Linked DNA regions of Danio rerio. The protein of the gene in region 2 interacts with the protein of the main gene of each other region in a pairwise test. Links are inferred from orthologs where the notes say so. Each region holds a gene or a part of one and is shown on either strand. Other genes may lie near its edges.

Region 1 (3,902 bases), on a different chromosome or scaffold from region 2:
TAGTTAAAAGTAGATACACTACTAATCAAAGGTTTGGAATGTTTACATTTTTAAATGTCTGTTATTCTCAATATTTATTTAATTCAAAATATATATTAAAAATAACTGTATAATATATATATATATATATATATATATATATATATATATATATATATATATATATATATATATATATATAGTAATTTAAAATAATTTATTCTTGTTATGGCAAAGCTGAATATGAGAAGTAGTTACTCCATTCTTCAGATGTCATTCTATAATGTTCAAGTAACATTTTGGATTATTTAATTTTACTGCCTAATATTTTAGCACTCACAGCAAGAAGGTCGCAGGTTCAAGTCCCCACTGGGCCAGTTGGAATTTCTGTTTGGAGTTTGCATGTTGTCCCCATGTTTGCGTGTTCCTGCAGGTGATCCGCTTGCCCCCACAATCCAAAGACCTACGCTATAGGTGAATTGAATAAACTAAATTGGCTGTAGTGTATGAGTGTGTGTGAATGAGTGTGTATGGGTGTTTTCCAATACTGGGTTGCGGCTGGAAGGGCATCCGCTGCTTACAACATATGCTGGAATAGTTGGTGGTTCATTCCGCTGTGGCAACCTCTAAAAAAGAGACTAAGCCGAAGGAAAATGATTGAATGAACATTTTGGTTTAGACATTATTTTCAAATGTGAGGGATAATTAAGAAAAACAAATTAATAATTAAGTTTACTAAGCCACATGAAGTTGACAAAGGCAGAAAGATATTTAAAATTTTACCACAAAATATTCAAATTTTCATTAAATATTGATCATTGATTTCAGTTTATTAAAGAATCCTGAAAGAACACATCAGTTTCCACAAATTTCATACAGTAAAAACACGCGCTTTCTTCATGGCTAATAAGCTCCAAAATTAACGTTCAGTTACTCCGTTTCAAATCAGTAGACCGGAAAAACAGTTTAAAAATGAATCATTCTAAAACTTAACAAATATTAAGTATTAGAAACAACTTTTATTGTGTGTATCTTTCTGTATGTTTCCACTTAAAATTTCTTAGATCATTCATACCATCAATTATTCATTCATTCATTCATTCAGTCTGATTTATCAGAGGTTGCCATATGAACCACCAACTATTCCAGCATTGTTTTTACGCAGAGGATGCCCTTCCAGCCACAACTCAGTACTGGGAAACACACATACACTTTCACATTCACACAGTCATACACTACAGCCGATTTTGTTTACCAAATTCACCTATAGCGCATGCCTTTGGACTGTGGGGGAAACCGGAACACCCAGAGTAAACCCACATGAACAGGGAGAACATGCAAACTCCATACACAAGTGGCAATTGGTCCAGCCGGGGTTCGGACCAGCAAGCTTCATGCTGTGAGGTGACAGTGCCAAAGTGTTTTAGTATGGTTTTGTTTAGTATATCTCTTTTCTTCTTCTGCATGTCTCTTATCCAGCCTCAATGGGCCACCATGCACCCCGATGAGCTGAGCAGCGAGGCCCAGCGCAGCGCCATCATAGTAGGAGAAGAAGCAGAAACCACATCTACGTTTGAAGAAGCTTTCCAGCGCATCAAAGAAGCCACTGGAGTCACAGACTCACAGGTGAGGACAGTGTATATATATTTCAGTGCATATAGACTACTTCTTTATGTTCAGGTTAGGATTGTTTATTCATGGTGTCTCTTATAATAGGAAATAGTGGACAGGTTTGTCTCTCAGGGAGAAACTCATGGTCATTTGGAGAAGATGAAAGCAGAAAACGAGAGAATGCTGCAGGAACTGAAAGAAGAGAGAAACACACTACAGACTCAGCTTCAGGATATGAAATACTCACGAGAGACGGAACTCTCAAGGTGAGAGCTGAAAACTACAATATCTTTTCAGCATCGATATCACAATGTGATCATTTGCAATAGACAAATCGCAGGATTTGTATTGTAATTTATCATTTGCATGTGTTTTTGCGGCCTGTGACTGAATGAGAATTTTAAAAGCATTCATGCATAAGACATTGTACCGTTAGTAACATTAATAACCATTATTCATTCATTTTCCTTCAGCTTAGTCCCTTTATTTATCAGGGGTCGCCACAGTGGAATGAACCGCCAACATATTCAATTAAATTCAATTCACCTTATGAATATAAGCGCTTTTACAATGTAGATTGTGTTAAAGCAGCTTCACATAAAAGATCATAGTAAATTGAAACAGTGTCAGTTCAATTTTCAGAGTTTAAGTTCAGTCCAGCTTAGTTCAGTGTGGTTTAATAATCACTACTGAGAGTCCAAACACTGAAGAGCAAATCCCTCGATGCGTAGCTCTACAGATCCCGAACCATGCAAGCTAGTGGCGACAGCGGCAAAGAAAAAAAAAACTTCACCAATTGGCAAAAGTGAAGAAAAAAAAACTCGAGAGAAACCAGACTCAATTGGGCACGGCCATTTCCATTTTTCCGCTGGCCAAACGTCTTGTGCAGAGCTGCAGTTTCAGCGGCGGAGGCTGGAAGCTGGCCTCAGCGAAGACTTGTCTGTCTCTGGAGCGTCACAGGAATCAGTCTCACGCTCTCCACTCCTCCATGACCACCACAGCAGCTGCTCAGGATACGGCCTGATCCAGGATATGGAAACCTTGGGATCCATGTTACCAGCATATGTTTGACACAGCGGATGCCCTTCCAGCTGCAACCTTGTACTGGGAAACATCCATATACTCTCACATTCACATACATTCACATACATTATCACACAGCACCTTAGATGATAACTGTCATAGTAGTTTGTGCTGTTGTTTAGCCATGACGCAGAAATAGAAGCCGTTTCTAAAATAAAAGCTTCACTCATAGCCATTATGGGCGGTTAGAACAAAAACTACTTTTAACGTGGAAAAATTCGAGTAGCATCAGTGTTACCATCACTACCGTTTACACCTGCATACCTGGTATTAATATGCATTTTCGTTATTCTGTTTACTAGAGAACACAGAATTGTAAACATGATCTGAAATGGTTTGTGCAAGTAGTTAAAAACAAATTTGATTAGTTTGTTTTTGCAGTGTATCTTAAAACACAAATTACGATATAAATTTTACTTGTCATCTTTGCTCTTTTCATCCGCTTGCTCTCTGCTTTCACAGAAGCTGTGTAGTGTGGGTTTGTTTATTCAGTAGCACAAAAGTCATGTAAAATGTAATGGCATAAGAGGTGATGGTCTCATTTAAATCCAAAAGCGAGTCACAATAACATATTTGAACGCCTGTTTATAGCAAGTAAAATAAAATTGTGTCTCTGCTAGTCATGTGGGGTCAAAAATCGGGAAAACCCATGCAAGGTGGAAGCGGGACCTTAGGCCATGTGTCCACCAAAGCAAGTGTATTTTTGGGGGGTTTTAATGAGCTGTGTGCAGGTTACAGTGCAGCCTAGATAGAATTTAAAGGAACACTAAATTAAAACTAATGCACTACTATATATTTTTACGTTACACCATTACATTTGGCTAACATACTTAAAAGGATAGTTCACACCAAAATGAAAGTTATGTCATCATTTGTAACTTGTTTCAATACTTTTCAATGAGTTTCAATAAGTTTCTTTCTTCTGTTGAACAAATGAAGATATTTTGAAGAATGCTGAAAACCTGTAACCATTGACTTCCATACGATTTGTTTTTTCTACTATGGAAGTCAATGGTTAAAGATTTTCAGCTTTCTTCAAAATATCTTTGATTGTGTTAAAATAAAGGAACATGTGAATGTTTATAACCATTAAGGGAAAGTAAATAGTAAAATAAGAATTTTTTTGGGTGAACTGTACCTTTAAGAAACCTCAAGCATGGACTTATGAACTCACAGCTGGTGCAACCCTTACCTTGTGTTTTCAGCTGTGCAAGAACGCTTCAGTAGAC
Region 2 (3,902 bases):
TAATATTTTAGATCTCTCTGAAAAGAATCCGCAATAAAGTCATAATTCAGGGCGCATATTCAAAAAAGAGAATTATTGATGTAAGTATTTTCTTTGAATAAATATTTTTAAATGCTTTTAAATATTTGTAAATATTTTAAATGATAGAGAATGGCCAAATTTATATTTATAGAACATATGTGCAAATGTTTTATTCTAGCCATTAAAAAAAATAAATTAATAAATATTTAAAAACTAATTTCTAACCATATAAGAACTTTGTGACTTAGGAGTCCTCTTCACTACTCCTAATGTTTCATTAATTTAGGAGCTAGTGTTTTGAAAAAGCTTTTGTGAAATACTATGAGTGAAATGTTGGAGTCCTAAATTTAGGACAGAAACTCCATTTAAATCTATTATTTAGAAGTAAGATTCTCTCCTAAATCATCAAGTTAAGAGCTCCTTTTAGCTTTAAGATGTCAGTATGACAATAAATTGTCAAAAATGTTTTTTGCAAAAAAACAAAACTTAATTTTTAGTGCCTGTTGAATGATGATGAATTTGACCACATGAATGTCAACACTACAAAACGGTCCGATTTTATGTGTTCTCAACTACCTTTGGATGTGGACGAAAGTGGAAAATCTTAAAACATTTTAGTCTTTGTCTACACCTGTATAAAGCCATGTCCACCTGTGATCAGAATGATGAAAACATCCTAATACCAGATGTAAACAGAACCAAGTGTTTCTATAAAGATGTAACTTTTTTTTTTTTTAAATAGGTGGACAACTGGAACCCACTGACCGACACAGTGCCCATTCATTCATGGATTCATCCCTGGCTACCTCTTATGCAAACCCGTCTTGAGCCGCTGTATGCACCCATCCGTAGTAAACTAGCCCATGCTCTGCAGCGCTGGCACCCCAGCGATTCCTCCGCCAGACTCATTCTGCAACCCTGGAGAGATGTCTTCACACCCGGCGCCTGGGAGGCCTTCATGGTCAAAAATATTGTCCCCAAACTGGGTATGTGCTTTTTTGCTAGACTGTCAGACTTTGGGAGACTTGGATGGCATGTGAAGGTTTTTCTCCTGTGTTTCAGCTTTGTGTTTAGGAGAGCTAGTGGTCAATCCTCATCAGCAGTTGCTCGATCCATTTAACTGGGTGATGGACTGGGAATGTATGCTCTCTGTCTCTTCCATGGTCGGACTCCTGGATAAAAATTTCTTCCCCAAATGGCTACAGGTCAGCCTTACAGAGTTTTACAGTTATGCCTGTTTCACATTGTAAGCGAGAGCAGAGCATAAGCAGCACGTGCACAGAGCAGATTGAGAGCAGATGTAGCGCACAGGCGTTTGCCTTTCACAGTAGCTCTGTCAGCAGCACGCAGTGCATCAGCAGTTATTGCACTGTTTAAGTTGTTTAAGTTCATTTAATTGAATATATAAAAATCTGGGGACATTATCGATGCATTTATTGGGTAAAATTGCTACTTTTTACGGTCATTCAATGTGTTTTTGGTCGTTATCAATCCACTGTCACTTTAATTGAGCGTGAGCAGCATGGCAAAAATAGACCCAGCACTGAAACTATCGCTCACGCTCCACGCTGACATGCTGCTTCTGCGTGCAGTATGAAAGCTCTAATCTGTTAACATGGACGCCGAAAAAACACGCGCTGCTTAAGCTCTGCTCGCGGTGTGAAAGATGGGTTAGTCAGTGTAATGCATTAGCATAGCTTGTATTTCTTTGGGATTGGGACAAAACATGAAAGACTGTTGTGTACTGTTGGGGATGTTTTCATTCACTCTGTGGTGCTTTTTGAGTCGTAAGTTGGCCAAAACTTTGTCTGTGTTACAACAAATGGAATCATTTTTGGTGACAAATTTTTTGACACATATTTTGGGAAAATGCTTTGAAAATGTTTAAAAATACACCTTGGGAAAATTTGCTACCCTTTCATTATTTCTGTTTCTGTTTTTTCCTATTGACTTACATTATAATCATATTTTTGCAAAGCCAAAAATTGCAAAGCCATGACACCATATAATCATGCATTCTTAATTGTTGTTGGTGGTTTTCCCCTCTTGGAAAGAGGTGCAATTTAATTTTTTTACTGTTGATCATTAATTGAAGAGCAAAAAAAAAGCTCAGTTTCTGTCTTCTATACTAGTGTGTGTGAGAGAGACACCTTTGCACATTTTTCTTAATATGTTTGAGAAAATCAAAATAAGCAGCTCAGCTCTCAGAAAATAGTAAACATATTAAGAGTATTTATACACACACACACACACACACACACAATAATCTAAACAATAATTTTTTGCACATGCCTATCTAAAGTGTTAATGCTGCCAACTGATGTTCATCAGTAAAAATGACACATTTACCTTATCCCAACAGGGTAAACCACCAACAATCAAGAATGCATGATTATATGGTGTCATGGCTTCGCAACAAAATAAAAATGTAATTATAATGGAAGTCAATGATGCTAAAACAGCCACAAACATAACAAAAGGGCAGTATACTCGAAAAGTACACAAAGGTTAAGAATGTTTTTAGCTCGGATAGTTCACTCAAATAAAACTTTCATCCAAGATGTAGGAAGGCATGGGATGATAATTGTTTTCAAAGTAAGCTGCGGTTTGGAAAAGTTAAGGTTTTAAAACCGTCAACATTTTCTGCTGCACAGTAATCACAATACTGTCAAACCGGGATATTTTTATCCAAGGTTATTATACCGTCAGAATCTTATACCAGCTCATGCCTAAATGTAGGTGCCATTTTCGTCTTTAAACACTAAAGAGTAAAAGAGAACATTAAAGAGTTCTAGCTGATAAAAGTAGTCATTAAATGCCATGGCTCCGGATGACACACTGATGTTTTGTAGGCACTCCTACTACATTTGTTCACGGTTTCTTTGTCTCCTATTGCAGGTGTTGTGCTCTTGGCTCAGTAATAACCCAAACTATGAGGAGATCACTAAATGGTATCTGGGCTGGAAGGGCTTGCTCTCAGAGAACCTGCTCAGTCACCCATTAGTCAAAGAAAAACTCAACGAAGCCCTCGACATCATGAACCGTGCCGTTGCTTCTGGACTCGGTCAGTCACATGCTAAAAAAATAATGTTCACTTAATTCATCCATTCTACCTTCAACTTCTCATACATTTGCTGTCCTTGCAGGGGGTTATATGCAACCTGGAGCAAGAGAGAACATTGCATACCTGATTCAGACAGAGAGAAGGAAGGATTTCCAATGCGAGCTTCAGCCAGAGCGGCGCGAAGTGGACAATTCTGCCACACGGCCACCAGGAATGGCAGCGGTGCCAGCATCTGTACCGACCAACTTTAAAGATCTAGTACAGGCCAAGGCCGAAGAGAACGGCATCGTCTTTATGCCACTGGTAGCCAAACGGCACATGGGCAAACAGCTATTCACATTTGGCAGAATAGTCATCTACATCGAGCGTGGAGTGGTGTTTGTCCAAGGTGAGAAAACCTGGGTTCCAACATCACTACAGAGTCTTATTGACATGGCCAAATGAGGCGGAGGTTTGAATATTGCTCTCTAATCTAGTTCTGTGTTGCTTTAAACTGTTTGTCTATCAATATTGTTTATACTGCTGAATAAACTTGTGCTTTAATTAATGGTTGATCGTTTCATTCAGCTACCGCCTACTGATGTGTCACATTTCATTTTAATCAGACTAATATAGGAAGAGATTTTTATTTTATACAAATTTTTATTGTGTATTTCTGTTTAATAAGCTGGTGGAAAAAATAGTGAAAACTAAATCTGATTTACAATTGAAAAAGGAAATATTTCTATTAGAAAAGTAAAGGAGCAGTTATTACAGAAAAATAAATGGCATTGTTTCATACATCATTTGATCCCTCAAGATATGGTTCAGAGAAGTA
Region 3 (3,902 bases), on a different chromosome or scaffold from region 2:
AGCCTAGAGCACCGTCTGCTGTTATAAACTAGCCTAGAGCACCATCTGCTGTCATAAACTAGCCTAGAGCACCGTCTGCTGTTATAAACTAGCCTAGAGCACCATCTGCTGTTATAAACTAGCCTAGAGCACCGTCTGCTGTTATAAACTAGCCTAGAGCACCGTCTGCTGTTATAAACTAGCCTAGAGCACCATCTGCTGTTATAATAAATGGCCGGCAGCTAGCTTTTCTCAACTCTCACATGGTCGCCCACTGAAGCTAAGCAGGGCTGTGCCCGGTCAGTACCTGGATGGGAGACCACATGGGAAAGCTCGGTTGCTGCCGGAAGTGGTGTTAGTGAGGCCAGCAGGGGGCGCCCAACCTGCGGTCTGTGTGGGTCCTAATGCCCCAGTATAGTGACGTGGACGCTATACTGCTCAGTGAGCGCCGTCTTTCGGATGAGACGTTAAACCGAGGTCCCGACTCTCTGTGGTCGTTAAAAATCCCAGGATGTCCTTCGAAAAGAGTAGGGGTTTAACCCCGGCATCCTGGCCAAATCTGCCCACTGGCCTTTGTCCATCATGGCCTCCTAACCATCCCCATATTCCAATTGGTTTCATCGCTGTCTCCTCTCCACCAATCAGCTGGTGTGTGGTGTGCGGTCTGGCGCAAAATGGCTGCCGTCGCGTCATCCAGGTGGATGCTGCACACTGGTGGTGGATGAGGAGACCCCCCCCATTGTGTGTAAAGCGCTTTGAGTGCCCAGAAAAGCGCTATATAAATGTAAGGAATTATTATTATTATTATTATTATTATTATTATTATTATAAACTAGCCTAGAGCACCATCTGCTGTTATAAACTAGCCTAGAGCACCATCTGCTGTTATAAACTAGCCTAGAGCCCCATCTGCTGTTATAAACTAGCCTAGAGCACCGTCTGCTGTTATAAACTAGCCTAGAGCACCATCTGCTGTTATAAACTAGCCTAGAGCCCCATCTGCTGTTATAAACTAGCCTAGAGCACCGTCTGCTGTTATAAACTAGCCTAGAGCGCCGTCTGCTGTTATAACTAGCCTAGAGCACCGTCTGCTGTTATAAACTAGCCTAGAGCGCCGTCTGCTGTTATAACTAGCCTAGAGCACTGTCTGCTGTTATAAACTAGCCTAGAGCACCGTCTGCTGTTATAACTAGCCTAGAGCACTGTCTGCTGTTATAAACTAGCCTAGAGCACCGTCTGCTGTTATAACTAGCCTAGAGCACTGTCTGCTGTTATAAACTAGCCTAGAGCACCGTCTGCTGTTATAACTAGCCTAGAGCACTGTCTGCTGTTATAAACTAGCCTAGAGCGCCGTCTGCTGTTATAACTAGCCTAGAGCACCGTCTGCTGTTATAACTAGCCTAGAGCACTGTCTGCTGTTATAAACTAGCCTAGAGCGCCGTCTGCTGTTATAACTAGCCTAGAGCGCCGTCTGCTGTTATAACTAGCCTAGAGCACTGTCTGCTGTTATAAACTAGCCTAGAGCGCCGTCTGCTGTTATAAACTAGCCTAGAGCTCCATCTGAAGTTAAAAACTAGCCTAGAGCTCCATCTGAAGTTAAAAACTAGCCTAGAGCGCCATCTGCTGTTAAAAAACTAGCCTAGAGCGCCATCTGCTGTTAAAAAACTAGCCTAGAGCAGCATCTGTTATTAAAACGTAGTTCAGAATCAGATCTGGAGAGAATAGTGATGCATTTTGAAAATCTGGCAATTGACGCAGCATTGTTCTTTTAAAGATTATGTTTCAGAATAGCAGCATAGTGGTCGTTTGATCATTGTTGGACACCTTGTGTGTTGCATGCTGTGTTGTTTTTCAGTGCTGGATGCCAGTGTTGTGTCTGAAATGTCGCAAGATCAGTCAGTCTGTGTTGTGTGTCGCTGGCGTATCTGTGTTTCTGAATAAGGAGTGTGTTGTGTGTTCAGGTGGGACTCTCGGGCGACGCACAGGAGCAGATGCGCATGATGCTGAGCCAGAAGGAGTCCAACTACATCCGCCTCAAGCGCGCCAAAATGGACAAATGCATGTTCGAGAAGATCAAGACTCTGGGAATCGGGGCGTTTGGAGAAGTGTGTTTGGCTCGGAAAGTGGACACTGGAGCTCTGTACGCCATGAAGACCCTCCGTAAAAAAGACGTGTTGTTAAGGAACCAGGTAGCCCACGTGAAAGCCGAGCGGGATATTCTCGCTGAAGCGGATAACGAGTGGGTCGTCCGCTTGTACTACTCTTTCCAGGATAAAGATAACTTGTACTTTGTCATGGACTACATCCCTGGAGGAGACATGATGAGTCTTCTGATCCGAATGGGCATTTTTCAGGAGGACTTGGCTCAGTTTTACATCGCAGAGCTCATCTGTGCTGTGGAAAGCGTCCACAAAATGGGTTTCATCCATCGAGACATCAAACCTGACAACATCCTGATCGACCGTGATGGACACATCAAACTGACAGACTTCGGCCTCTGCACTGGATTCAGATGGACTCACGACTCGAAATACTACCAAAGCGGTGAGTCTAACATCTCCAACACCTTTTGGTGAATTGATCCAATGATTTTGTGCTATTATCGTGTAACATCTAGGAAGCTTGTCAAAAGTAACGAGCATGTGCACATTTGAACATGTTCTTTAACACAGCTGATTGGCCGTTGTGTTCACCAGTGCTCAACAGAAATGACTGTGATTGGCCATAAAGGTCATTGGTTTACCACTCTTTACTACTGTTTACCGACACAGAGAGACGCAGACACTACTGCATTTTAAAGTCGCGTCAATCAGCTGATCTGTCAATGAGCTGACATGAGCAAGCCGCTGATGGATCGACTGATCCACGCAGCTTTAAAATGCTCTAGTGTCAGTGTATTTAAAGGGCCATGAAACCCCCTCGTTTCAGCAGGGTGTTTTCACGCCTCTACTTTGGAAAAGGACAGAAAAGTGGGCGTGTCCAGCTCTGTTTAGGGGGGAGTGTCAGAAGGGCAAAAGAGGGATGGGGTGGGAGTGTCTGTTTGACCACGCGCTGAGTTTCAGAGTCAAAACACACACACACACACACACACACACACACACACACACACACACACACACACACACACACACACACAAAGGGGAGAATGTGACTGTGTTTACATGGACATCTGTAATCGAATTATTTGCCAAATGATTAAATGGTGGACTTTAACTGCAGTTTGGCTCTTTCATTCAGGGAATTCATTCATGCCCCTCGTGACAAACGAGATATTTGATTCGAGGAGCTGCTCTAAGCGTGTATTTTTCATGCAATGTTTGATACCGCACGGCGAATGAGAGAAAAAAAAACCTCCGCATTTCCCGGAAACTTAGATGCACACGGCAGATAGTGTCAGAAAGCCGCGTGTGTTATTCCGGTCACTAAATGCGGTGAAAATCCTACACGAAGGTAAAGTTTGGTTGTAGTGTTAACATGTTTACACTCGGTGCAATAGTTAGTTCGATACAAACAAACTGAATAAACAAAGAGCACTGGTCGCTCACTTACCAAATCTGTAGAGACAGGACAATCACCAGCAACTAGAGCCGCGCCTTTATTAAGAGGAGACGAGCAGCGAATCTGGATCTCAGCGTTTGCAGATGAGAACAGCTCTCAGGTAAACAATAATCCTCCTTAGACACGTAAGTTATTGTTGTCGAGCGTCGCATACACTGTTAATCCACACGTGACTCCAGCTGCGCTCTCACAGAGAGAAAATGAAAACAAAACTTCACTGCAGCAAACTATAAAAGCAACACTTCACGCTTGTTTTGCCAACACAACGTGGCGTCTCTGTCGTCTAAACACTGTGACAGTAATGAATATTAATGAAGTTGCACAATAGAGCGCGCTGATTGGTTTGAACCAAGCTTTACTCATGC
Region 4 (3,902 bases), on a different chromosome or scaffold from region 2:
AGATGGCATGAACTTCGTATTTGAGAGGCCTGAAATCTCTGTGGATGGAGTTCTGTTTCATTTCACACGGCAATTTGGGAGAGGACTGTGTCAAAAGCACTTGACGAGAAGAGCTGCATTAGATGTTGTGCTGCCGTGTTTAATCGCTTTAGAGCCCATACTGTAGACAGCTGTTAAATAAAAAATAAAAGAGGAAACACAGAGGATAAGCCTCTGCTGCTGGCATATCAAACACAGATAAATGATTTTCAGCATTAACCGACAGTGATATGGTAAAATAGGGCACGAGTCCAGAGTAACAGCTGAGTCCACAGATGAGGGCAGATCACAGAAATGGATACTAAATAAAAAAAAAAAGCATATAAAGAAGAAAACCGTAATCATCCATGTTTTTTTCAATGTTTTTCCCTTTGCATTTTTAAAGTTTTACGTATATATGACAAGCTTTCAACAATTCACATTTACACACATAAGAAAAAACTGTCAAACATGCTGTATTACATATGCCAGGACAATAGTTGGCACTACTTTTGATTCCATCCATCTATTTTTATGCGCATTTGGGATAAACGATTGATGAAAACACATAAATGTGCATAAAAACATACGTGCTTAACTGAGTAGGATAAACTTCTATTCAATAAGAAAATGTGCATAAACTGCGATGGAAACACTTTTACCATACAAATTCCAGTATGCACACTGAAAAAAGGTCATGTGATTCAGTTATATGAGATCATGTGATGATAAACGTGTCAATAGACAAACCAGCCTTAACGGTTTCAGTAATAGTGTAATGATATTATTAATGACCTCCAGAATAGAGGACCTGTGCTCCACATCTCATGCCTTCAAACAACGCCACGTGCTAATTGCGTGTCAACATCATCTTCTAAGGCACAAGTCAATTATTAAATGAAGAAAAGATTGACACAGCTTCTCCTACCACAGCAAATTGCTTTTTTTACTATTGATATTTGGTGCCATTAATAAGGAAATGATGATTTTGTTTTCTTTGACTTGTTGAATGGAAAAACTGCTTGATTCGCATGTCTTTTATGCAATATTCCAGTTTTGCGCATCAATTTAATTAGCATTTCTGGATGGCAACATAGCTACTGTTACCTTATTAGTAAACAGTACCTGTAGGGAAGTGATGATTCGCTCTTTAGGAACGAGTATTTTAGATTTGACGTTTGTATATGATGCGTCCACATTGTTGGTTGCTCTCGTTTATTGCAGGAGTTACATTCTAAAAATAGGTGAAATCCACGAAGTAGACAGCTTTACTTTTTACAATTCTAACAAACAAATTATAAATTACAATTTTAAGGCTGTAAAACCCCTCACTACACAATTTATACACTTTTATCAGAAAATCATTACCATTTTCACATTTTTAATTTTTGTTTAAACACTTTCAAAAAATAAAAAGTTCAAACTTTTATAGAAAAATAACTCCAGTATTATAGAATGAAACCATAGATCAAAACTGGTTGTCAGGCGCAAACATTCAGCGCTGTCCGCCAAAGATTCATAAAGCTTTTTCGCTTTTGTGTGGATAATGTTAGCATCCAGCGTAATGTTTTTTTTCCTGCAGTCACTGATCAGCAAAGCGAAAGCAGACTCCATCCTTTTAGGGGTCGTTCACCGGATCCGACGCGCACATACAGTAAGAAGTAACACAAACTATACGCACACATTAACATGTTATTTATAATTAAATTATTCAGATGTAGCGTGGCAGAAATACGAACAGTGTCCTGAGTCATAGCTAGGCGCCACTGACAGCCATCAACTTGCGATGCCGGTGTGCGTATCCTGATAGAAACCTATGTTTGCATGGCGCTGACTGGCGCAGTGCATACAGTCTGCGACCCCTTTTTTGATGATCTTGCTGCAGACACCCTTTTTGCATCCTTGTTAAAACTCACACTGCTAGTGATCATAGATTTGTGTTAATTTGGAAAACTGAATGCATTTTGCACTGCACAGGAGAAATAGAGGAGATTTATTGACAATGGTCAAACTAGCAGCAGCAAACTAGCTAAACGCAGCATCACACTGTCTCATTCTCACACATAGATACGCGTGCTCGCTTGCTCGAGAGTCAGGAGTAATACTTTTAGACCACCCGCTCCCGTCCAAAATTAAACCAGTTACCGACCGTTCCTGCGCTTTATACGAAAATTTATTCTCGCGCCGCAGAAATCTGGTCAGCTCCCTCGGTACAGCCGCGGGAATGCAGACTTCTAGTCTACATCCAATTACGCAGAACATAATGAGCTGTGTAAAAAAAAAAAAAAAAAAAGCAAGTCAAAATTTTCACGATTTGCACTTTGCAGGAAAGATCTGATTGAGGCCTAGTTTGTGGCCTTTGTATGTAATCTATTTTGTATGTGAATACTTGAATTTGTAAACCCAGCATTAGAGTAAACATACAGTAAACAGCCCTAACATGTTACCAGGAGGAGAATTTTACAACAGGGACTGATTTGAGATTGCAATTTACAAAACATGAAGCACTTTTTTGTGCACTTATTTTAGTGTTTCTCATGTTATGCTTTCAATATCTTACCTTTTACCCAACTAGGTCACAGTCATCCACCTGTCGCCTCCTCACAGTCTCTAAGAGCTGTCAGTCATTCAGTAAATATAGCTCAGAGTGTGAAACTGTATGAAAGTGTTTACCTGAGAGATGTGGTTGATGGAGGACTCCATGCGGCGCAGCTGAGACGCCTGGATGTCCAGCATTTGAAGCACATTGTTGGCGAGAGTGTTGATCAGGTAGGCCACACTGGCCAGGGATTGAGTAGTGTAGTTCTTGGTTTCCTCTAGAGCGACATGCTTGTCTGGAGCCTGAAAGAGAAACAAAAGAGTAACAGTCAGTGCGCAATTTAATCAGAGCCATTTAAAGGATTCAAGCTGTGGTAGTTAAGGGATTTGTGCTGATTTAAAAAAAACATATTACAACATTAATGGTCCAAAAGCTTTTTAAAGTTAAACTCACAATGCAACTATTATATTGTACTGATCTCAGAATGCTCAACGAAATCGAATTAGATTAAAATCTCTAGTCAGTATCAAGCCAAATCTAATAATAATAGTAATAATAATGTTAATAATAATAATAATAATGCATTTTATTTAAAGGCACCTCAAGAAAGACCACACAACATAGCAAGAACAACCAACAGATAAACACAAAATTAAAAGACAAAAAAATATAGTACAATTAAAAAAACAAAGTAGAGTTTTGAGTTTGGATTTGAAATGTGAAAGTTTAAATTACGGAGATCAGGAGGAAGTGAGTTCCAGAGATGAGGAAATCAATCAAATCTAGGGATGCACAATATATCGCCAGCCATATTGATATAAACCGATAAATGCTATTATTAATGTTATTGTTAATATTATCTATCCAATACCAAAATTAGGCGATAGAATATGTAATTGTACAAAACTGCCTGCCTTGCATGCGTAGACAAAGCCTTTAGTTCTTTCATTTTATTTAAAATGTTTATTTAACTTTGTTAATTAAATCCCATTTTTTATTAAGCCAATTATTTTTATGGAACAGTCGAGTTGCATGTTAATTTGCTATGAGAAGAAAAGGCATGCTGATTTATGTGAAATCGTGAATATAGGTTTATATAATCACCTTGCAATCTTAAAATTTTAGCTTTTTTGCTATTCAGGCTATTGAGTTCATAAGATCAGTTCAAACTTTTTTGAAGTTTTAAAAATAAAATCAGTTGTTTACTGTATACAAATACAACATTTATTTGAACCATTTATGTTTATCAACTATTGTATATCGGTTATTGGCCTCCAAATCTAAAGAGTTATCGGTTATAGAAATATTGGCCCAAAAATCCATATGGTTGCATCCCTAATCAAAT
Region 5 (4,590 bases), on a different chromosome or scaffold from region 2:
AGGTGTTAAGCACCAAAGGGGGCCCATATTAAAGTACATTTTAATACTAATCAGGCTATTGCGATCCATGAATTTTTATTCAATTTAACTTTTTTACAAGAGAAAAATCTAGAGAAACTGAATATCTACACTATTATTGGATAACATTTTATTTTGTTGGTCCATTTGAGTGTTAGTAGACCGTCTGCTTAATATCTGCTGATATTGCGCCTTCAACAGATATTTAACTGACTGTAAGACACATTATTAAGCACATTAACCCTAACCTAACAGTCTACCTATAATCTAATAAGAATTAGTTGGTATGTAGATGCAAAGTAACTTAAATTCAACAGAGCATCAAAAAAGTGTGACCTATTATTGTTTTTTTACTTATTTGTTTTATTCAAATGGCTAAATTCTAACTGAGGAAAGTTGAATCTGCTGGCCAGATTATTATTTGCCTAATAAATGAACATAAGCTACTGTCTTTAAAAACATTTAGCGAATCCTATTTTTTTTCTTAATGATAAATCATGTAATAATTTAATGTTTTTTTTTTCAGAATATTTTAGGAAATGTTTTGGTACATCAAAAAGTTTGGTTATGATGACCATCCGACAAGCTATTTAAACAGAAAAGTGCTTAATGTGATTAAAATTCAGTATTTAAACCTCTTAATTAAATTGAAAATGAGGTGAATAACTGCAAATAAGTCCACTTATTGAGAAAATCCACCAGGCTGGCTACAGGCCTGCATATAAACATTTAAAGGCGCATCCAAAAATGATCAGAGAGATTACAGCCAACTTTATATTATAAAAAATAGATTATATTATAAGATGCACATTATTAATATTAATGCTTTAAAATTGTTGGAGGTAGTGATCAGTTTTTTTCCCTCTCCGCTGTCGCCACTGGCTCGCATGGTTCAGGATTGGTAGAGCTACGCATCGATGAATTTGCTTTTCAGTGTTTGAACTCTCAGTAATGATTTTAAATCACACTGAACTGAACTGAACTGAACTGAACTTAAACACTAAAAACTGAACTACACTGTTCCAGTTACTATGACCATCTATGTGAAGCTGCTTTGACACAATCTACATTGTAAAAGTGCTATACAAATAAAGCTGAATTGAATTGAATTGATTGTGTCCAAATAAAATTTAAAATCTTAACAAAACAAATAAACAGTAACTTAGATGAAAATGTGTGCATTTGTGTCTAAAAACTTTGGCTAGTGGTCAATTAAATTGCTACGGGCGTGGACTTATCAACATGATAATGTGTCTAAAGGTGTTTTGGTTTTTTCATCATGACAGTAGTAACTTTAATGAGATTTATTTTTAAACTGCAACATAAATGTGATCATATTTGAGCTTGCCATGAAACACTTTTAATATGACATTCCATTTGCATATTGCACATTATATTTAACATTTAAGCATATTAAAGTGCTTTGCTTGCTAAAAATGTACCAAAGAAATAAGAATATGTAGATTTCAATACAGTGTGAGGAGGAATCAAAGTACCACCATATCACCCTGCTATCGTGTTTAAAAGTTGCTTTAAGTTACGTCACGGCCGCTCGCTAGCGTCATATTGGTGACTGGGAGACCCGGTGATGTCACATTAAGCAGGGAAACCTCACGTGCCTCCGGAGCGCCCTGGCAACTAAAAAATCTCCCTGTACGATCCTTCGGCGATACCGAATATCGGGAGTGCGCGCCGGACGCTCATCCGCGTGTCCGTCGGGGATCTTAAAGGCGCAGCGACACCTGCATCCTCTCCTGCGTCACACCGAGGTTCCCCTCACATCTTATGAACTAGAGAGAGAGAGAAGAGGAAGAGAGTGAGAACTAACCGGGGAAACACTCGACGTGTGAGCGCGTTTGGCGGAGGAGCGCGCGGACGGTGAGCTCGAGGTGTTGCGGGTTTTTCCTCGTCGCGTTCGGGTGGAGTCGAGCCACATCGCGAAGTCTAAGAGCAGTGACACACTTCAGGTGGGTGGAACGCGCTCTTCGGCAGGTACTGGCGCTAAAATGCATTCGCTTAAATCATTTTTGGAACGTTTGGCCGCCGCGTTCGGTTGGTTTGCAACATTGTATCCGTTCAGGAGAATTCCAGGCGCGCCCGCGGCTCCTTTGATGATCAGGCGGATGTAAGATGCGGGATGAGGATGATCCCGCAGGGTTTGAGGGTTTTTTGGTTTGGGATTGAGCTGAAGATGGACGCGATGGAGCCTCTTGGCCGTTTGATTTCATCTGTCTTTAATTGTGAACGCGAGGGTGATGAGCGTTTAGAGCTCTGTGAGAATCCATTGAAATTAATGAATGGATGCATGGATGGATGGATGAATAATAATCACGACCCTCACGCGTTTTTCTGCTGATCTTCGATTTCGAGCACATGCCGACTTCAAATAAGAGCCTGAAATACGACGCTGCTTCTTTCTATAACGCCTGCATGTCGGTGTATTGCGCTTCTCCAGCGTCGTGGCTGTCTCTTTGGCCTTTATTCAGCTCTGCTGTGGCATTATAAATGTGCACATGAGCTTCATATAACCCTCGCGTTGTGTTGAGATTGTTGTGTAATGATTTGTACGTATAAATAATTCACAATTAACCTCTATTATTCTTAGCTGCTCCTCTGACCCGTTTTGACAGGAATTGCTGGAGCTGTTATGTCACTGTGGTGTTGGTGTGGATGAGAAATGAGGAGCATCTGTAGTTCTGCTTAATGTGTGTATATACGAAAAAGGAACTTGTGCTTATCTATTTGATTAAGAATGTAGTAAAACAGTATTATTAGGATAAGGAATAGCTGTCTTCGTTGAATTTGAATAGATTTAAACATAAATGACAGCTGTGATGTGAAGCTGTCACATGATCCTTCAGAAATCATTATGATTTGATGATCAAGAAACATTTCGCTTTTGATAGGAGTTCCTGAAGAAAACTATATGTGATAACAGGCTTAATAATGAGACATTTAACATGATGTAGGGAAGAGTGGGGCACAAAGTTTTTGGTTTTGGCCAAGTAATGAATAAAGTAATGGAGTAAGACAAACCGTTTGATTTTTACCAACAACACACAAGCCTCTCCTACAAATGAGCGCTGGTTGTATGATCGCCGGATCTATGGTTTCTGTGCAGTGTTGCTAAAAATGCCAGGAGGATAAATGTTACTATTTGCCCCACATGCGGGCAGGGCCGGCCGTGTACATTTGGGGGCCCTAAGCAGAGTAATATTGGGGCTCTACCTTGCTCTAAATAGTGAAGTTTTGCTATTGCAATCCGCCCACAATGATTATATTGCATATTAAATACAATTAATGAAACAGAAAAGCCTGTTTTTTTCTACTTAATAACTGTCTGAATGATTAGACCAGCATTGTTTCTGTCAACTAACAGCTTCAAGAATGAAGAATTAAACTTAATATTTAGTAAAAGGGACCAGTGATTCCTACTTTGCATCCTTCTGATATGTTTAAAACATATTCTATTAATTTAGAAAACAGGTTGAAGATTTTATAGCTAATGGTTGAGTTTTTTTATTATTAATTCCGAAAGCAAAAACCCTGCATTGAAACAAAACTAAACAATAATTAGCCGAAAGTGAATATGCGCTACTTAGAAATAAAATATACTTTCTGAACTCATTTAAAACTAAAATGCAACAACAAAACAATTAACATTAATTCAAAAATTGACCCATAATTAATAAAATCAATAAGCAAATTATATAAAGTAAATACTCTGTTAAAATAGTTAGGTTAATAGTACCCCAAAATATAACCCAACTATAGGTTATTATGGCACCTACCCAACTTTGGGTTATTTTATCCCAATGCATTGGGTTATTTTGATTAAATGTATTTTTTCCATTCTGGTATTACTTTTACTATTACTACTATTTCATAATTATGGCTGTGTAAATATGTAAATGTCTCCGCTGGGTCCTGAAGGTGAGAATCCGGCCAGATATCCCATATGTGTATCATTTCCAAAAAACAAAGCGCAGAGATGAACACAGGAGGTCGAGAAAACATTTTATCCATTTAATATAAATCGTCTATGAAGTGTGAAGTGTGTCTTAATCAATAATTAAGAGTGCTGGTGAAATGGATATAAAAAACGCGACACTGAGAGGTCATTTGATTAAAAAAAGAACAACAATATTGTGTTGGAGCTTAAATAAACTTTATAGCACAAATACAACATTACAGACGCATATTAATACCGCTGTTCTGTGTCAGTTAAATCAGTTGTTTGTTGACATTCTAAATTATAACCAAACTGGTTGAGTTATTATATAAATAACCTAATAAAAAATAACCCAACAAAGCATCAATATTTAACCAAACTGGTTGAGTTATTAATAAATAACCTAATACAGAATAAAAATAACCAAACAAAGCATCAATATTTAACCCAACTGGTTGAGTTATTATATAAATAACCCTATAAAGGTTAAAAATAACCCAACAAAGCATCAATATTTAACCCAACTGGTTGAGTTATTAATAAATAACCTAATACAGAATAAAAATAACCAAACAAAGCATTAATATTTAACCCAACTGGTTGAGTTATTATATAAATAA
Region 6 (4,461 bases), on a different chromosome or scaffold from region 2:
ACACACACACACACACACACACACACACACACACACACACACACACACGAGCATGCGCTGCAGCATACGCTCATGTCTGAGCTCCAGGTGACTGCGGGTGCTTTAAACACAAAACCTCAGAGAGCAGTGCACGTCGAACAGTTTATCAAGAATGTACCGCTGAATCGTGTCTCACTATAGTTGTTAAAGGTGATATTTAATTAATCTTGTCTCAGGTCACAGCGTCAGTACACTGCTTCAATCTTTCGCTTTCACGCTTGTACTTAGTAATTTTAGCGAAAACCTCAGAGACAGATCACTCAGCCTATTCATGCCAGAGTCCTGCGGAAAAAGTGATTGACAGGTGGTGATTTGTGTGTAATTTTATTTATTTGTGATTTGGTTATGAGTAAAATAAAGACCATGTGGGTCAGGTAGTTGAAACGGTAGGCTAATAACTAATAATTAATTCTTTATGAATTAAATAATTATTCATAAATAATGAATTCACCGCAGCCTACGACGACAATCCCATCATTCATCCTGATGTTTCACATTAGACACTGTAAGATGTCAAATTGGTCGACATCGCCCAACCCTATTTTCACTGTCCCTTTATTGTGTGATATGACGAAACAGTGATCTTAAACAGAAAAGTATTTTCAATTCAAATGATTGCAGGTTTGGCTAGAAAACAGCATTGCATAGATCTCAACTTAACTGCTTATTCACATCTTAATGACAAAATGTTTGTGGAAATAAAAACCTTTTTTGGCTTTGGCATGTGCGGCTTCCTGTTTCTCCAGCTGTGTCTCTCTTTCTTTCCATCTCCTGATCTGTTCTTCTCTCATTTTAAAGAAGAGAACTTGTTTCTGTTCCTCGTTCAGCTCAGCCAGGAGATCCGGCTCAATGTACATGTCGATCAGTATCTGCTGCAGCATCTTCCCGTGTCACTGACAAACACCACCTTGACAGAACTCAAATATCTTCAGTCAGCAGAGGGGTAATAGGGGTGTCTCTTGTTCTTTGAGAGAGGTGGACTGTAAAAACACAACCATTTCAAACTCTTTTATGTTCTTCCTCAGACGAAACGTTATAGAAAATAAATTACGATACTTTACACAAACAAAGAAAAAAATACATCATAAACAAAACATTTCAACCACATAAAGCTAAAAAAAAATCTCAAAGAGAGAGAAAAAAGTTGGAGATAGATTTAGTTTGGGTTCTACCAATAAGGATTAAGCATTTATCTAGATTAAGATTTTGAATTATTTTGGATTGTTACCTGATAAGACTAATACATTTACATTTACAAATGAGGACAAGGAAGCAATTTACACAACTATAAGTGCAACAATGAATAAGTGCTGTAGGCAAGTTTCAGGAATGTAAAGTGTAAGAAGCAAAACATTAGTATTTTTTTTTCTGTAATACAGTTAGCGATGGAGCCAGAGAGGCAATTGCAGATAAGGAAGGAAAGTAATGGATGAAAAAAAAAAAAAAAAACAATAGATGAAAAACACAAAATAGCAACAGGAAATGTTGAGAATTTTTTTTACCACTTCATTTAGCCTAATTTCTTGCAAAAAATGCTTTTTAGCAACTCATTTCGTTTGGTATACTTTGTATCTTTATTTTAATGTATTTTTGCTGGTCAGTTATCTACAAAATAAACTAAATAAATCAATACATTTTAGGTAAAGTGGCATTTTTTTTTTAATAATAAAGGAATTATGAATTCAATTCAAGTAGGCCTATTATAACATTTTAAAATATAATATTTGACAATTTTCTTTATTTAATAGATTTGAGTTATGAATTACAGCATTACAATACTACTTGGTATCACAATACTTTAGCTGGTATAGTATCGTAACATGAATTAATGGTATCGCGACAACCCTAGTTTGTAGACTACCTAAAGGCATCACTTTAGTTTTACTGAAATTAATCCTATAACCTGATAGGCACTAAAATCTTTAATAACATTAATAAAATTATTTAAAGATATTTCTGGTTTTGATAAGAAAACAAAACAAAAATGAGACGAATCTCATGTACTACATTAAAAATCATTGATTAGCTTTAACATCTGCTTCATTTTAATTTCCATTGTTGGAACCAAATGATGAACACAGAATTGTTATACATATCAATTAGAAATCAGTATTGTGAGATGTAAAAAACTGAACAAGTAAAAAGTCAGATAAAATATAACTGAAGGCATAAACAGAATTCTGACTCCTTTTTGTGGGGAAATTTGGATATTTAAGCTCAGAAATGCTGGAAACAAAAGTCACAATTACACTTAAGTCACAATGTAAAAACATAGGAATACAGTGTAGTCTAACTGTTAAACGGATGTCTGGTAATCTCGAGACAAATTTATCATATTTGAACAAACCCAGAAGTTTTACATACAATATAAGAATGTAAACAAGCAACAGGAAGCTACACAAAACAGTCAATCAATCAATGCCAGATCAAATCCAGCACTAATGACTCACACACGCAGAGAGAGAGAGAGAGAGAGAGAGAGAGAGAGAGAGAGAGAGAGAGAGAGAGAGAGAGAGAGAGAGAGAGAGAGGTAAACTTACCGCTTTAATCAAGTCTTGACACACTCATTACTCGCATGGGGATTTGAGAAACACTTCAGTGGCTTACCTAAAAACAATCCCAAAAAAACGCCGACTATAACCTTTCATTCCTTTGAGAACTACACCTAACATTAGGAGAAACCTGTACAGAAAGGTAATTCTCGAGTGAAGTCAGTGGTAATGTTGAACACACCCTTAAAACTCAAACTCAGTTCCCTCCTACACTTGGTTCTTCCTCCGGCTCCGTGTGAAAGACACATTCAGCTGCATGAAAGGTGCTTTATGTGCCGCTCTTATATTTGTTTGCTTTATTAGACATGCGCGCAGTTCCTCTTAAATGCCGTCAGCCACACAATTCTAACTCATTTACTATAGCAATATAGTATATTTTGGTATATTTTGGATACATATTTAGTTACACATAGCGTAGCTAGCTTTAGCTTACATCCGTCCAGCAGATTCTTTTAAACCTCACAGTGCAGGTGAAAGGCGAAAAGTGCAGAGACTCAGCGTGGAATGTGTTGTTCAATGACCTCTGACACGGATAGGAAACAATTTTAAAGATTGAGTGATTTTAAGCAATTTTTCAAAGTTAAATTAAACGTACATAAACAGAGCGTTATACATTATGCACTGTTCATAATACAATATTGCATAATTAAATAACACAAATATTGATTAGTTGTGACGAACGACCCGCACTAGATAGAGCACTTGTCCATAAAAAAACACTGAAATAGCATATGGGTTGACAATATCTTAATGTTACCTTTCAGATTGGCATGCATACATTGTTTTGTTTTATGTTGAATTTAATGTACATAAACAGCGTGATAAAATAGTTTCATAATACCTCTGATTTGCATATTTTAAAAATCTTGATTTGAGCAATATCAGTGGTGACGAACAACCCACACTAGGTGGCGCACTTGTCATAAACCACCACCGAAATCGCACATGGCTGAAATTTCTTGATTTTCTTTCAGAGGCCTATGCATACATTTTATATATTAATCATGTAGTTTCAGTATGCTGTATCCACTGAAAAATAATAATGTAATGTAATATTTTAACAGTGTGTAGTGCAATAAGATTGTCATTGTGAGATTTTTTGTGTTTAATAAATCAGTTTCCTTGGCAGATGGACTGAATCATTATAAGGACACAAACATATACGTAATTAATGAAAATAAACAGCACATAGTTCGAACAATTAACTCTTATGAACTGCTTAGTTTCAGTGAATCATGTAGCATCCAATTTTCTGTTGCCTGAACTAAAATGGTCCTGTGGTCCACTACAGTGAACATGCTGTAAAATTAAAAATAAAAACAAAACGTAAAAAATGTAAAAACTCTAAATTGTAGATTTTTTTTAACCCAAAGGAGGTAGGAAATCACACATAAAAAAAGAAAAAAACATTCTTTGGGGCGACGCAGTGGCACAGTAGGTAGTGCTGTCGCCTCACAGCAAGAAGGTCGCTGGTTTGAGCCTCGGCTCAGTTGGCGTTTCTGTGTGGAGTTTGCAGGTTCTCCCTGCGTTCGCGTAGGTTTTCCCCACAGTCCAAAGACATGCGGTACAGGTGAATTAGTTAAACTAAATTGTCCATAGTGTATAAGTGTGTGTGTGAATGAGTGTGTGTGTGGATGTTTCCCAGAGATTGGTTGCGGCTGGAAGGGCATCCACTGCGAAAAACTTGCTGGATAAGTTGGCGGTTCATTCCGCTGTGGTGACCCTGGATTAATAAAGGGACTGAGCCGACAAAAAAATGAATGAATGAATGAACATTCTTTGGGTCTGAGGAGGATACAATCATTATTTATTTAGAAGCTGAACTTAAGTCAATGGAATTATTTATTATTTAACTTATTTATTTAAATAT
Region 7 (4,683 bases), on a different chromosome or scaffold from region 2:
ATACCGAGGTATTACCGTACCGTGAAATTCTGATACCGTTACATCCCTAATATACACCAAACATCTTTAAGAAAAGAACAATATATACATTATTGCAAACAAGACAAATACAAACTACAACATCAACTCCATTTTTTTAATGTTTATGTTGATTTTTGTCCTGTTAATTAAAATTTTACTTGATATTTTCTCTCAACATATTAATTATGTGTACAAATTTTTGAACTGTGATCTTTAGTTTATTTGTTGTTAGATTTATTCCAAATTTTGCTTTGGTACTGAATAATTTAATGTATATGCAAAAACATAAAGCATTTTGTAGATATATTAATTCAAAATATTGATCTGTGAGGGGTGTACTTTGCTATATTTATGTAGCATATGAATTACATAATTAAATAAAAAATATATTAAGAAAGCACTGACTGATATAAAGAAGTAGGCTACATTTCTTAAAGAATGACTTTAAAGCTGCAAACCGGTTGATGAATCCGGGCAAGAAAGGTAATTTAAGTGATTTGAACGTGGTATTGTTGTTGGTACCAGACAGGCTGGTCTGAGTATTTCAGAAACTGCTGAGCTATAGGGATTTTTACACACAACTATCTCTAGGATGCATCTATGCTCAACCTTCAGGGTTTCGCGACAGTAATGTGCACGAACAGCTATCTACATTATTTACACTGAACTCAGATTAGTTAGATCAAATGATCTTCAACTTTCTGATATGGAACCAATTTAAGCGTGGATGTTTAGTTCGGCTCATTGAAGTCAGGTTTTTGACTTTAATCCCCTCTTTTCTAAACCAATTTTAGGAAATTCATTTAGACACGTTTTGTCTGGAAACCACCATAGGAAATGGTCTAAGCAAATCTGATTTATATCAGTCTCAAATGCGTTTTAAGGGCCATTTAGCTATCCGATCACAGAAAAAATGCATGTAGTGACCAGGTGTAAACAAGAGCAGTTTAGAGGCATTTAGCAGGTGAATCAACTTTTCCAGAAACTTCAATTTGCCTAGCCATTTTAAACTCCAAACTAATTTCCTTTTGGCCTGATTTTGATCAAAACGACATCATCCACCCATTTAAATATAAGAATATGAACATATGCAGAGATCAGCAAGACTTGTGATTGAAGGATACGGCCCTGCTCAATGAAGGTGATGGCGTTCCTTAGGTTCTGAGCCATGCGCAGTTTCAGCATGATTGTGGGAAGCCGCCTCCTGTAGAAAAGACAACATTGAACAACATTCAAAAATTGTCTGCATCTCCTGCACTGCATAAAAACACTCACATATTAGTTGTCAGTGTGCAGGACTTGTGTAAATTATTTTATTATTCAAATCAAAAAATATATTGAAATTTGAATGTTTGAATTGAAAGTTTATGGTGTCATTTCAACAAATGTACGGTGCTGCTTTCAAAAACTCAACAACAACAAAAAAAGAATTTTTTTATTTAAAAACCTTACATTTAAATCTAGTACAAGAACTATGAAAAATAATGCACAACAATATTTCAGAAACCGCTTTTGAAGATTACCAGAATTGAATTCATCAAATTGTTTTAAAGTTCTTTGAACATGACTGTTTAAAACAGAGTAGCACATTCAAAACATCATCATTACTCTAAAGTACATGAAGGGCTTTATTTCATGGCACTATATATGTGTTTGTATGCATGTATGTATGTATGTATGTATGTATGTATGTATGTATGCTGGAGGTGCAAATTTTAAAGGTGCTTAATTTAAAATGATTAGTGATTTAATAAGTCTTTGAATCTGGTGTCCACGAAAGCATGGGGACCCTAAACATTAATAATTAATGTTTCTTGATTATCAAATCAACATATTGGAATAATTAAATAAAGCACAGTAACTTTACTCACCTGCAGAATGCAGATGCTGACACTTCATTTGCGAGAGAGAGGTTCTGTTTGGTGGGAATCAAACCGACACTGTATCTGCAAAACAGAAATCTTACAAATGTAGAAACTACTAAAACTTTAGTAAACTCCTTACAGAATGAGGTGTACACAAAAAACCAAGGTCAACAAGCTTTTAAAAATCGGAATAATATACAGATTCACATTTTATTTACTGTACAATTTTTATTCTGAACAAAAAATATAAGACATCTATTTTATCTATCATAAATTTTACCATGACTTACAGATAGCGCTAATAAACATGTATTACAATAGTTTGTATAGAAATAAAATCTTGTTTCGAGTATAGTTAGATTTAGAATTATTAAATAACATTAATAGACTTAAGATTTAATACAAATTAAATTTCGTCAAACAAACAAATAACTTTAAATATAATAAAGTTCATAAGATTCCTTTTAAACCTGTTTTTAATCATTTTTATTCTTTGCTGTTTTTCTTTTCTTCTTTCTTTTATTCATGTTTATGTAAAGTATTTAGATTACCTTTGTGTATGGAATCTGCTATATAAATAAACTTGTCTATTATCGCTTATGCTTTTATATATTCTAAACTAAAACAATTTCTGTATATTCATGACAATAAAATGTGACAGGTTCCCAAACTTACAGTTTTTCCAAGAAAAGGGCTGTACTCTGAGATCTGAATCCATCTTTTGCGTCCAAGTCCCGTATTTTCTGCGCCAATTCTCTGATATTTCGACTAAGTTTGTTGTATCTAAAGAGAAATCACGAATGCATTAATTGATAAGCCGCGTTTTATTCACAGTGATGTATTAGACCCATAACTTCAGAGAAACACAGTCATTGATAGAAGCATTTTCTTTACTCACTTGGTATAATCTTCCCTCTTCTCAATATGGTATTTTCTCAACACTTTAACCTCGTGTATATTGTTGTCAACCTCCCAGTTAATAAAATCAACTTTCTTCAAGAGTTTCTGCTCGTGAAATTTTAATTTACGTACCATTTTGCTAAAAAACACGGGCTATATTTATGGCTAAACGTGTTAATAACTTGCTCACTTCAGCTTACGCACGCGTGCTTTTTATTCACTGTGGTTTTCTGTAAAAACGTAGCTGTTAAGCTCGATATCGCCGCACAGTGTTCAGGAGGGAAACACTATAATTTTTAAATAAACAAATAAATAAACAAATAAATAAATAAATACATTTATCAATTAATCTATTTATTAATTTATTAATTAATTAACGCTTTTATCCAGAGCGACTTTAACAGATAAAGAATCCAACTGATCAAACAACACAGCCTGTCAAATAACACATTTTACTTAAAATTATAACTTTATAATAATAATATTAATAATAAAAAATCACAAAACAAATAAAATGGCCAAATAAACAGTAAAACAATAAATTAAGTAGCAAAATATACTATACATTTTCATTTCAAAACTTTGGCTACTCGCAGCTTTGCAGTATGTAAACTGATCAAATTAGACAGATTTTGCGCTGACGTAAACGTATTATAATTGATCTAAGTCATCAGGAGATGTCACTGGGGGAAAAAATGTATTTTCACATGACAGGAAAACCGACACGACATAAATCACTATCAAACCTTAGTTTCATCTTTGCAGAAAGTGAGGTAAAGGAAGTGAATGTTTATAAGAAATGGCGATCATATCCATCCATTGGACGGCGTGTGTGAGCCTCGAACAGGTAGGGTACAGTACAAATTAAAGCTCTTTACAGACATTACGAACATTATAATAGCCTGTGCTACTTGGAAATTCAATCATGACAGCGATTTTCATTTAAATGTAAGGACGTTCATGTAGCCTACTTTATGCGCGGAAAGCTGACAGAAAGTTTGATTTTGGAATTTAGAACCAGAAACCTATAAACTACGAACAAACGTTTTAGCTTTGCGAGTGTGTTGAAATAAAGAGAGAAAGAAATTTGATATCTTGATGGTGATAGTGAGAATGTGCTCTGGGGAATTTCTTTCATATATTTTTTTAAGTGTTGGAACTTGAACTATATGTAATATCATTAATACAGACTGTATGCAACAGAGTCTTTATTTGACAAAAAAATAAATTTCAATAAATTTAATTTTCTTTTTAATAATATTATTAATCATTTTGCACGTGTCCTTGAAATTGCTGTCCACCCCATCATGTGGTAAATGCCCCTTTAAGAAACCCTCTGATGTACTCATTGGCATCCCCATTTTGCCTTCTCTTCAGAGTCTCAGTCTAGTATATCCTTTAAAAGTCCATATAATAGAGCTCATTGACTGTTTGAAATAAAAACACAGCCCTAAGTATTTCTACATTTATGTGAACATCTGTATAATTAAATAATGTAAATAACATGTGTATCTAATTATTTACCTTATTCTGAAAAAAAAAATCTGTATCATTAAGGTGTTCAACTTGAGTTGCTTCCTACACTCCATTCACTCCTCCAATACAATGTACAATGTAAAGATTTACATTCAATATGCAAATATAATTTAAAGCACAATAATTGTTTATTTTCTCATTAATTTCCATATCAATAAAACCTAATTGATAACAGCAGAGGCGGTGTGGTGGCTCAGTGGTTTGCAGTAGTTAGTGAAAACAGAAGCTGAATTCTTGAAAACTTTTACAGCCCTTTTATATTAATGTTTCTTGTTGTACCAGTTGTTTTTCAAATGTTCCTCATATTTAGTTCACTGATTAAAGCCCTTGTCCACCCGGTCATGCCAGTGTTCACCCTATA

The links.
Region 1: the proteins of tfip11 (region 2) and odad3 interact in binary tests that used the Homo sapiens proteins (3 or more experiments, as listed by UniProt). The two-hybrid records come from large-scale screens. The link is inferred for Danio rerio from reciprocal best matches to the Homo sapiens genes TFIP11 and ODAD3.
Region 3: the proteins of tfip11 (region 2) and lats1 interact in a two-hybrid assay, tested with the Homo sapiens proteins (2 studies listed by BioGRID and IntAct). The two-hybrid records come from large-scale screens. The link is inferred for Danio rerio from reciprocal best matches to the Homo sapiens genes TFIP11 and LATS1.
Region 4: the proteins of tfip11 (region 2) and abi2a interact in binary tests that used the Homo sapiens proteins (3 or more experiments, as listed by UniProt). The link is inferred for Danio rerio from reciprocal best matches to the Homo sapiens genes TFIP11 and ABI2.
Region 5: the proteins of tfip11 (region 2) and gng4 interact in a two-hybrid assay, tested with the Homo sapiens proteins (2 studies listed by BioGRID and IntAct). The two-hybrid records come from large-scale screens. The link is inferred for Danio rerio from reciprocal best matches to the Homo sapiens genes TFIP11 and GNG4.
Region 6: the proteins of tfip11 (region 2) and sh2d4a interact in binary tests that used the Homo sapiens proteins (3 or more experiments, as listed by UniProt). The two-hybrid records come from large-scale screens. The link is inferred for Danio rerio from reciprocal best matches to the Homo sapiens genes TFIP11 and SH2D4A.
Region 7: the proteins of tfip11 (region 2) and imp3 interact in binary tests that used the Homo sapiens proteins (3 or more experiments, as listed by UniProt). The two-hybrid records come from large-scale screens. The link is inferred for Danio rerio from reciprocal best matches to the Homo sapiens genes TFIP11 and IMP3.

The regions. Positions count from the first base shown.
Region 1 is NC_133181.1:9,171,144-9,175,045, reverse strand, and holds part of odad3 (coiled-coil domain-containing protein 151), read left to right. Parts: intron 1-1,458; coding exon 1,459-1,605; intron 1,606-1,695; coding exon 1,696-1,856; intron 1,857-3,902. UniProt on the Homo sapiens protein: Component of the outer dynein arm-docking complex (ODA-DC) that mediates outer dynein arms (ODA) binding onto the doublet microtubule. Involved in mediating assembly of both ODAs and their axonemal docking complex onto ciliary microtubules.
Region 2 is NC_133198.1:20,749,778-20,753,679, reverse strand, and holds the end of tfip11 (tuftelin-interacting protein 11), read left to right. Parts: intron 1-763; coding exon 764-1,007; intron 1,008-1,083; coding exon 1,084-1,226; intron 1,227-2,919; coding exon 2,920-3,085; intron 3,086-3,167; coding exon 3,168-3,529; 3' UTR 3,530-3,632; downstream 3,633-3,902. UniProt on the Homo sapiens protein: Involved in pre-mRNA splicing, specifically in spliceosome disassembly during late-stage splicing events. Intron turnover seems to proceed through reactions in two lariat-intron associated complexes termed Intron Large (IL) and Intron Small (IS).
Region 3 is NC_133195.1:1,293,264-1,297,165, reverse strand, and holds part of lats1 (serine/threonine-protein kinase LATS1), read left to right. Parts: intron 1-1,940; coding exon 1,941-2,523; intron 2,524-3,902. UniProt on the Homo sapiens protein: Negative regulator of YAP1 in the Hippo signaling pathway that plays a pivotal role in organ size control and tumor suppression by restricting proliferation and promoting apoptosis.
Region 4 is NC_133184.1:13,911,034-13,914,935, reverse strand, and holds part of abi2a (abl interactor 2a), read right to left. Parts: intron 2,860-3,902; coding exon 2,692-2,859; intron 1-2,691. UniProt on the Homo sapiens protein: Regulator of actin cytoskeleton dynamics underlying cell motility and adhesion. Functions as a component of the WAVE complex, which activates actin nucleating machinery Arp2/3 to drive lamellipodia formation.
Region 5 is NC_133188.1:53,673,652-53,678,241, reverse strand, and holds the start of gng4 (guanine nucleotide-binding protein G(I)/G(S)/G(O) subunit gamma-4), read left to right. Parts: upstream 1-1,686; 5' UTR 1,687-2,010; intron 2,011-4,590. UniProt on the Homo sapiens protein: Guanine nucleotide-binding proteins (G proteins) are involved as a modulator or transducer in various transmembrane signaling systems.
Region 6 is NC_133185.1:7,483,828-7,488,288, forward strand, and holds the start of sh2d4a (SH2 domain-containing protein 4A), read right to left. Parts: upstream 3,128-4,461; 5' UTR 3,025-3,127; intron 2,850-3,024; exon of another isoform or gene 2,773-2,849; intron 2,647-2,772; 5' UTR 2,580-2,646; intron 1,020-2,579; 5' UTR 921-1,019; coding exon 746-920; intron 1-745. UniProt on the Homo sapiens protein: Inhibits estrogen-induced cell proliferation by competing with PLCG for binding to ESR1, blocking the effect of estrogen on PLCG and repressing estrogen-induced proliferation. May play a role in T-cell development and function.
Region 7 is NC_133177.1:10,337,288-10,341,970, forward strand, and holds the start of imp3 (U3 small nucleolar ribonucleoprotein protein IMP3), read right to left. Parts: upstream 3,019-4,683; 5' UTR 2,922-3,018; coding exon 2,785-2,921; intron 2,670-2,784; coding exon 2,562-2,669; intron 1,968-2,561; coding exon 1,893-1,967; intron 1,226-1,892; coding exon 1,146-1,225; intron 1-1,145. UniProt on the Homo sapiens protein: Component of the 60-80S U3 small nucleolar ribonucleoprotein (U3 snoRNP). Required for the early cleavages during pre-18S ribosomal RNA processing. Part of the small subunit (SSU) processome, first precursor of the small eukaryotic ribosomal subunit.